2 linked regions of the Mus musculus genome follow. The protein of the gene in region 1 purifies or fractionates together with the protein of each later gene. This does not show direct contact. Links are inferred from orthologs where the notes say so. Each region holds a gene or a part of one and is shown in the gene's direction. Other genes may lie near its edges.

Region 1 (3,988 bases):
AAAAAATTAAAAATAATAAAAAAAATCTTCTCCATACTTTAGAAGTAGCCATGTCCTCCTCCTTTTTATTTCACCTTTTCATAAACTTCAAAGGGTGGCACCTTTCTGTCATTGTCCACTCCAGAAAAGGATTGTTTTTATTTTTATCACTATAGGCCATGGGACTGGTGGTTTGAGACTTTTATTTAAGTTGCAACTATACACGACATACATCCCTGTCTAACTTGTCATTTTGTGCAAGTTTGTGTGAGAAGTTCGTACAGGTTGCATGCCTTAATGTTACATTAATATAAAGTGTAGTGTAGCAGCATTTTCCTTGACTTGCTGATGCTAGTAACTCCCCTAAGCATCTGTAAGCTGACAGCAGATTGCTCTACCTCCCAATGGGTACTGTTTGTTTTCTGTCTCGGTTTACTGGGTGTTATGGACGTCTCTATGCTGTCATAATTAAGATAATTTGAAAAACGGTTTTACGCTGGGGGTTTACTAATCCGGGCTGCTGCAACCCAAAGTCCTAAGAATTCCTCCACATTTTACGTGGAAATTCACTCAATCCAAACCCTGCTGAAAATACAAAATAAACCGCTAGTAAAGAGCGAAGGCAGTGGAAAACTTCGTATCAAGAGCTCATATAGGCAAGGGAGAATGGAGCGTTCGGCCACTTGAAACCGTGCCGCTTTCCACCACGGCGCCCAGAGCCAGTCAGGAAGCCCGTGCAACCTTCCTACAGTCCCACGAGATGGCGCCACGTCAACGGTGCTAGACGCAGGACGCCTCCAGAAACCCAAGGCCCACTTAAAGCCATTGTTCTACTTAGGAGCCTTCCTCCCTTAACAAATCCGTCCTTTTTTGATGGTAGTTGTGCTTCTTTGGGGGCGCTCCTTTGTTCTTTCCCGATACCTCAGAGCTGCCGAAGACAAGATGGCGGCCTGGCAACTCCGCATCGCACCAGCGGAAGCAGCCCTTCTCGAGACACTTCCTATCGGGTCCCCAAACCTTTGAAGGTTAGTTCCGGGGCTAGGTCTGGCCGCGGTTGCGAGCTGCGACTGCGCAGCCCGGTTCTGCCGGCGCGGAACGACGTCTCAATCGCTGGGGCGGAAGGAAGTGGCTGGACGCCTCCTGAGCATTCGATCGCTCGCGAGAATTGAGCGTTGCTAGGCAACCAGCCTGGGGGCGGGACTAGACTCGGAGGGGCGGGGCCTTGGGAGGCTCCGGTGGAGCCTTGCGAAGGTTCCAGAGCCGTCTCGTGCGGAGGGCGGGCCGCCGTGTCGCGCCGGGTCTGTGGAGCTCGCTGCCGGCGCTGCGACGCTCGTGGGTGGCGTGTTCGGCTTTTCCTGTCTGCTTCGGTGCACCGCTGCAGCTCCGGCCTCGGGTCTGACGCGCGACGGCATGGCTTCCGTTTTGGAAGAGGTAGGGGTCGGCCTGGACCCACCGGCTCGCGCCGCCGGGCGGCGGCTGCTTTCCCGGGGCTGATGTCCTCGGCTCTGCCCCCGTCGCGGGCCCGCGGCCTCTACGCCGCCGCCTGCCTGGGCCTGAGTGTCCCGGCCGCGGCTGGAAGGTCGGGGGTGTGTCTGGATCCCAATTTTTGGCGCGGTTCGTGGTAGGCTCGCGGGTGGCGGTCCCCTCTCTCCATTGCCTGAGGTCTTCTCGGCTCCCGGTTCCTGGCCAGGGATCAGAAACCTTCCTGCAAAGCTCTGAGCTCCGGGCCGGGGGCCATGGGAAGGAATTCCCATGCCCGCATGACTAGTCATGGTCACCGCTTTCATTTTATAGGTGGTTATACATACATTCTCTGTATTATTTCTAAACGCCCTGGACAGTGCTTATGGTTTCAGTTTTTATTTAGCAGTGCCAGTGGCGGACCTGCAGGCCTTACACACGCTAGGCAAGCTCTCTACCGTTCCGGTATACCCCCAGTCTTTATGTATAAAAGCAATTTTTAAAAAGTTACTGGGAATTGAGCAGTAGGTACGACTAGGAAATTGCCTGGCGTGTGTTTTTAGATTTGTAAAAAATGAATGTGAATGACTTGACTTTTTGGATCCTCGAGGTCTCCATAGCAAGAGTAATTGAATTGCCGGGTTTTGGCCAATACAGGTTTTATGTGATTGACATATTGTTTTCACAGAAACATTGGCTGTTAAGATTTGCTTTTCGGAAACTTCTCCCTCACTTAGAAATCATGGGCTTTAAACACATAAAAATTAGGAAGTTAAAGTATTCATCTGGGTATCTTGCGACAAGATAGGCAGGCACCACGTGCTCACTGGGAGAGTGGAGAGGGTGGCTTAACAGTTGTGCAGCATTAATTGTCTCCAAAAGAGAAGGGACTTTAGACTTGGAGCTATGCATATAGGGGCATGTTTTTCTTCTGAGATTAAAATTCACCTTATTCAATCATATTAAGATGTGAAATTCAACTTTTTCTGTCGTACAACCATCAGTGTTACCTAGTTGCAGACTATTTTCGTTTCCTTAAATAGAAATCCATTGTAGGTGCTCCATCTACTTAGGCTGGAGCCTTAGGATTTTCTAGTTCAGTCGTGGTATCAGTATGGCATTCCTTTGGGTGGTTGAATACTGTCCCATTGTACAGATGGAATTCCTACTCTTCTGTTTCTCCATCTTGCCGATTGTGATTTCTTGTAAACAAGTTTTGTTTTGTGGGCATGTTTTTAGTCCGTGTAATTGCCAAATAATAGGGAAAGTCTTAGGAAGCTACCGTTTCCACAAGAATTGCACAAAAGGTGCCATTTCTCCACACATTCACTAACATTTGTTATTTTATTGGGTGGTTTTTGTTCATATGCTAACATCCACATGAGGGTGTAGTACCACCTCATGCATTGGCTATGCATCTTCATAGCTGTGTGCATCTATTTGTGTGTGTACCTGGTGTCCAATTCCATGTCTTTGTGGAGGAGAGTTGGGTTCTTCCATTTTGAGCAGTTGGGTGGGAGTAGGTCTCACTGAGTACCCCTCACTTGGTCTTTGAGATACACTTGCCTCCAGAGTGGCAGAACTAAAGGCATGTGCCACCAGGCCAGACCGAGCCCCTATTTAACAACTGGGAAACAGATTCAAAGGGAGATAAATGTTTATGTATAGAAAACAAATGCATGCCAAGAAGGCAAGAAAAAGTGGACAGGAAACTGTTCTATCTAATCCCAGTCAGAACCTACACTGTCAGTGGTTTCTGGGCTGTGAATACAAAAATCAAGCAATGGTTCTCCTGTAGGTCGCATCAGTTGGTATCTTACTAAAGAGTCCATTAGAGCGAAAACTGGGAGGGCCTGGGAATTCTGCCATGAGTCAGCTCAAAAAAAAGATTCCCATTCCAGTTTAAAGCAAAACCTTTTCCTTTCTCCGTTTGTTAAGTAAAGCTCTGTCCTAGGAATAAGTACTTGCTTTGCTTTTAATATTTTTTTTTATTATGCTGATATTTAGAATCTGTGGTAAAGTCCCACCAACCCACTTTCACCAACAGTGGTACTTGATAATCCATATGAATTTTGAAACCACTGAAAAACTTTGAATGAAATATCTTGATTCTAAATTCAAAAGATGAGTGACAGTTTTGCAGTTTTGGATCTTAGAGTCAAGTTTCCTTGGGATTGTAGACCGGAGTTTCACTGTTGTGCTTTTTATAAACTGTTAGGAAATCATAATATAATGGCCACAGAGTAATGAGCTATTTGAGCTATTTTTTTTTTTTTACTATCTAATATCTAGCATTTAAAATATTTTAAAATTATTTTTTATTTCTTGAAATTATAATAAATATAAATATAATAAATCATTTCCCTCTTCCTCCCTCCAATCCCTGCCATTTGCACTCTTTCAATTTCATAGTTTCTCTGTCTCATTTTTTTTTCATTGTTGCATACATAGTCTGTGTGATGTTACTAGTAGGTAAGCTCAGGGCTGACCGTTTGGTACTGGGCTCTTCTGGGGAAGACTTTCTCCTGCCCTCAGCCTCTCTTTGGAG
Region 2 (4,358 bases), on another chromosome or scaffold:
AGTGTAGCGGGCTACATTGTGAACCTAGCAGGCCAAAGTACCTATCCTTAGGCTACTCACAGTTTTACTAAGTGAAATAAAATGCTCATAATGAATAAATTAGTTGGAGGTATGGTGGATGAAAAATGGACACTTGGTACAGGGGACAATTGAGACTGAGTGGAGATGGTCTGAGTTCACGGTATTAAACAGTCGTCGGGGTAGGCCTCAGCAGATGAGGTGGGGGCAGCCTATAAAAAGGGGATTTGGTAGCTGGGGGTGAGGGCAGTGGAGTTGGTATAACTCAGAGTCTGTAGCTGAACAGAACGAGGGTGAGATCAGGGTAGTGGGGCTAGGTTGGATGGTGACTTGTGAATTCTGGAGAGGACTTTGATTTTGCTCTCAATGAGACAGAAACCATGGGGGGTGGGCTGTAAACACAAAAAGGATTCGAGTTAGGACTTGACAGGATCACCCTGACCGATTATAGAGCAAATCTGAGGGAGAAAGCAGGGTTGAAGTATGAGATCAGTGAGGAGGAGGCTCCCAAGGGAGTCCCAGTGACAGGTGAGGGTACTACAGGCGTGCTATGGAATCACAATCTCTTAAAAGAATAGGACTTTGTCAGATGCCTGCAAGGATATGAGGCTAGTTAAGAATCTCCCAGTAGTCCACCGTGATACATTAAAGCTGTGCTATAGCCAGGATTCTGGAAAGGGTATAATCACTCTGGCACAGGAGGGTCATAGCTGGTGTAGGTCCTTATCACTTTTTCCTTCCCTACTGCAGCCCCGGAAAGCCAGTGCCACATGCAGTTCAGCCACAGCAGCAGCCTCCAGTGGCCTGGAGGAATGGACTAGTCGGTCCCCACGGCAACGAAGTTCAGCCTCGTCACCTGAGCACCCTGAACTGCATGCCGAGCTAGGCATTAAGCCCCCTTCCCCAGGCACTGTGTTAGCTCTTGCCAAACCTCCTTCACCCTGTGCACCAGGTCAGTGGCTTGCTTTCAGGGTGCCTGCTTGGGCTAAGAGGCTCTGCTTGCTGGGCCCTACCTCTGATTGTCCATCTGCCTCAGGTACAAGCAGTCAGTTCTCAGCAGGGGGTGATCGGGCCACCTCTCCTCTTGTGTCCCTCTACCCTGCTCTGGAGTGCCGGGCCCTCATCCAGCAGATGTCCCCCTCTGCCTTTGGTAAGCCTCCTTAGGGGATGGGCCAGCTGGAAGTTGGGAGAGCCCGGAGGATTTTTTGAAGCCCCTGGCCATCTCTCCCAAATCAGAGGCATGAGGGAAAATTTCAGGCCCCAAAGATTTTCTCCACAGTGGGTCTAGTGGGGCTTCACAGAGTTGAGGGAGTCAATGAGTGATTGGGACCTGAACGGACTTTTCCAGAGCCAGGGATCAGACAGAAATCAGGGAAAGTGACCTGAGGCCCCCCATCATCGTTGTCCTCTTCTCTCTCCTGCCCAGCAGGTCTGAATGATTGGGACGATGATGAGATCCTAGCATCGGTGCTGGCAGTGTCCCAACAGGAATACCTAGACAGTATGAAGAAAAACAAAGTGCACAGAGAGCCACCCCCAGACAAGAGTTGATGGACACCCAGGGACTGGACATCATTCCCGATCCCCCACTCCTGCCCTTTGATGCCACCCAAACTTCTTTGGCTTTCTTCCCTCTTGGCTTCCTTCTTTTGTTTCCTCTTTTCCTTTTTTTTTTCCACTTCCCTCTGGCCGGCCCACCCATGCGCTCCATCCATCTCATCCCTGCCACCACCATTGGTCTCTGCCAGCTGAAGTGCCCTATTGCCCCCGCACAGCACCATCTCAGCATTCCACAGGGGACTCTGGAAAGGGTGCGGAAGGTAGGCAAGAGGCCCACAGAGACAGACCATCTGGCAGCCAGGCAGCCCCAGAAGAGAGACATTCAGACAAAGGAAGTCTTCTGCTCACCCTTCCTTAAAGATCAGATAAACTTGTCATCCCTTCCCAGCAATGATGACAGGAAAATGGAAGTGGCAAGTTTTCCTTCTAGTATCCGAAGAATCTGAGCCTTCAATGTTAAAATTTTTCTTAATTAAAATGTGCTTTATTTCACAAAATCAACAAATCAAAAAGAATATTCATGGCAACGTTGGTCCTTTGAGGGTGGCATCTCTGGTTTGGAGCTAGGCAGGCTGGCCATGGGACAGAAAGGGCAGAAAAAAGATGGATTTCTGCTGTCTTTTGGCCCCTAGTTCCTTGGAAGGGCAAAGGCTATGAGGTAGAGGGAGGTGACAGGCATTGCAGGTGGCAGACTGACTTTGGACAGTGAGACCCTGACCTTGCTGCATTGCTTTGCCTTCACCACCGCTAGTCTGTTTGGAAGGCTTGAGGTGGGGTGTCTTGGGAAATTAGGGCCACTACCCAAGATTTGAATTTAGGGAGTGGGAGCAGCCTCAGCAGATGGGGCACCCGTGCACTGCAGGTGTTGACAAGATCCACCATCTGTAATGTCCTTGGCACAATAAAACCAAATGTCAGTTTCCCTGAGCAACTCTATTCTGTGTGGGACACGGGTGGATGGGCCTCTGGGAAGCACAGGATTTGCTTTGACCAGAGGTCTGCTTGTTCTCCAGTAGGTGCTCTCTGTAAGCTGGGGTTCATATTTGATCTTCTGTTTATTAAATTAACTTCTTGTCTTGAGACTGATGGCAGAGAATCTCTAGAGCCCAGGTGGGTTAAGACTAACCTAACCCACATAACCAAGATTGTTTCTTAAAAGAACAAAACCAACAACAACTCTACAACTGGTCGTGGTCATGCCTTTGATCCCAGCACTGAGGAGGGCAGAGGCAGAGGTGGATCTTTTGAGTTGCAGGCCAGCTGGGCTATACAGCAAGACGCTTTTATTAAAAATCATAAACTTCAGAACCAAATCGACTGAAACTGAAGTCCCTACTCCCACCTACCATATTTGCATTAGGGAGCCTAGGGCTAATTTAAAGGACTGTATGAGCCAGAGGCCAAGACTGGTGTCTGAATTTCTACTCTCAACCTTAATGCTCATTCATTCTTGTGATAATCTGATGAAATAAGCAATCACTAATGAGTTCAGTGACCAGAGGTGGCCCTTGCCCAACTGGGTTTTAAACGTTGGAGGATGAAATGGCTAAATCCTTTTTTTGTTGTTTGTTCCTCAGGTCTGTTGACACCTCTGTCCATACCCCTGCTAGGGTTTGTAAAGCCCAGCTAGAGAAGGCTGGCTGGCCCTCAGGTTTCCTCAGAGCAGTCTTCTCCCACTCCCCAATGCCTCAGTGAGGTCCTTTCAGAAGAAGGCTGTGTAGGGTGGCCCTACGGTGAGGGTATGGCTTGCCCAGTGGGTGGCTACAGGATATCTGAAATACGTGGTCAAGCATGAGCACGCCAAGAGGGTTGATTCATTTCAAATCTACCTGCCTTGTCTCACTGTGTGGCTTTGGGCTCTCTTTGACTTTAAAGTGTCCCATCTGCAACTACAGGGGTCATTAATGTCTGCTACCTCATGCTCTCTGATTTGTGAGTATTGACAGAGAATGTGTATGGTCAATAATGTACTACTGGGAACAGTACCTGGTACACTCTTAGAGCACAAATGTTGGGGTTCTTACCAGACTTTAGGGGTGGGGGTATTACCGTATTTTGTAAGTTTGTACCATTTGGCCTCAGCCTGACTCTTGCTACTCTTGGCTTTTACTTGCAATTTGCCCTAACCCTATCTTCAGCAAGACAAAGGGATCACCTGAAAAAACCCTGTGTGATCCCATTGGCACTCTCCCTTCTGTCTACGACTATTCCGAAGAACTGTACTATAAATAAACTTCTGGGCTGGGGCTGTGATGCTTACTTATCTTGTTTGTGTGTGTCTTAAGATCTCCCCTCCACTAAAGCCTGTCAGGATCATAGGGAGACACCTAGGGATGCTGGCTGAGTAAGGGACATTATGTGTTACCTTTTCTGCTTTGCGTGTATTGTCTGTGCCTGTGACTACATTGAGTCTTGAGTCAACCAGTTTCTCTGAATTCCAGTGTCTCTGGTTGAGTGTGGATGTGTCTGTTTCCGATGAGGCTTGTTTCCAGGTGTATCAGATGGTGACTGAGTGTGGGACTCTGCCTATGACAGTTTGTGTCTGGTATCCGAGAGAAAGAAATGCATGTTTGCGTGGGTCTCTCAGTGACAGTACATCTGTAGTTTGTCTGGATACTTTCAGTGATAAGCTGCGTGTCTGATAGTGTGTGATTGGGTCCGGCTTTTGTTGATTTGCTTATCTATGTGGTGATTTAGAGCCCAAGGATGACTACGTACCTGCTTTGGAGCAGTGCGTGTATGTGTGGAACAACTGTATATTCTTGTGACAGACTCTGGGT

Evidence for each region. The genes of interacting proteins can lie anywhere in the genome.
Region 2: the proteins of Cacybp (region 1) and Otud5 purify together in Homo sapiens (affinity purification with mass spectrometry; 4 studies listed by BioGRID and IntAct, with this or other methods). This does not show direct contact. The link is inferred for Mus musculus from reciprocal best matches to the Homo sapiens genes CACYBP and OTUD5.

The regions. Positions count from the first base shown.
Region 1 is NC_000067.6:160,210,069-160,214,056, reverse strand, and holds the start of Cacybp (calcyclin-binding protein), read left to right. Parts: upstream 1-1,164; 5' UTR 1,165-1,389; coding exon 1,390-1,410; intron 1,411-3,988. UniProt on the Homo sapiens protein: May be involved in calcium-dependent ubiquitination and subsequent proteasomal degradation of target proteins. Probably serves as a molecular bridge in ubiquitin E3 complexes. Participates in the ubiquitin-mediated degradation of beta-catenin (CTNNB1).
Region 2 is NC_000086.7:7,872,786-7,877,143, forward strand, and holds the end of Otud5 (OTU domain-containing protein 5), read left to right. Parts: intron 1-768; coding exon 769-970; intron 971-1,054; coding exon 1,055-1,168; intron 1,169-1,444; coding exon of another isoform or gene 1,445-1,447; coding exon 1,448-1,569; 3' UTR 1,570-3,841; downstream 3,842-4,358. UniProt on the Homo sapiens protein: Deubiquitinating enzyme that functions as a negative regulator of the innate immune system. Has peptidase activity towards 'Lys-48'- and 'Lys-63'-linked polyubiquitin chains. Can also cleave 'Lys-11'-linked ubiquitin chains (in vitro).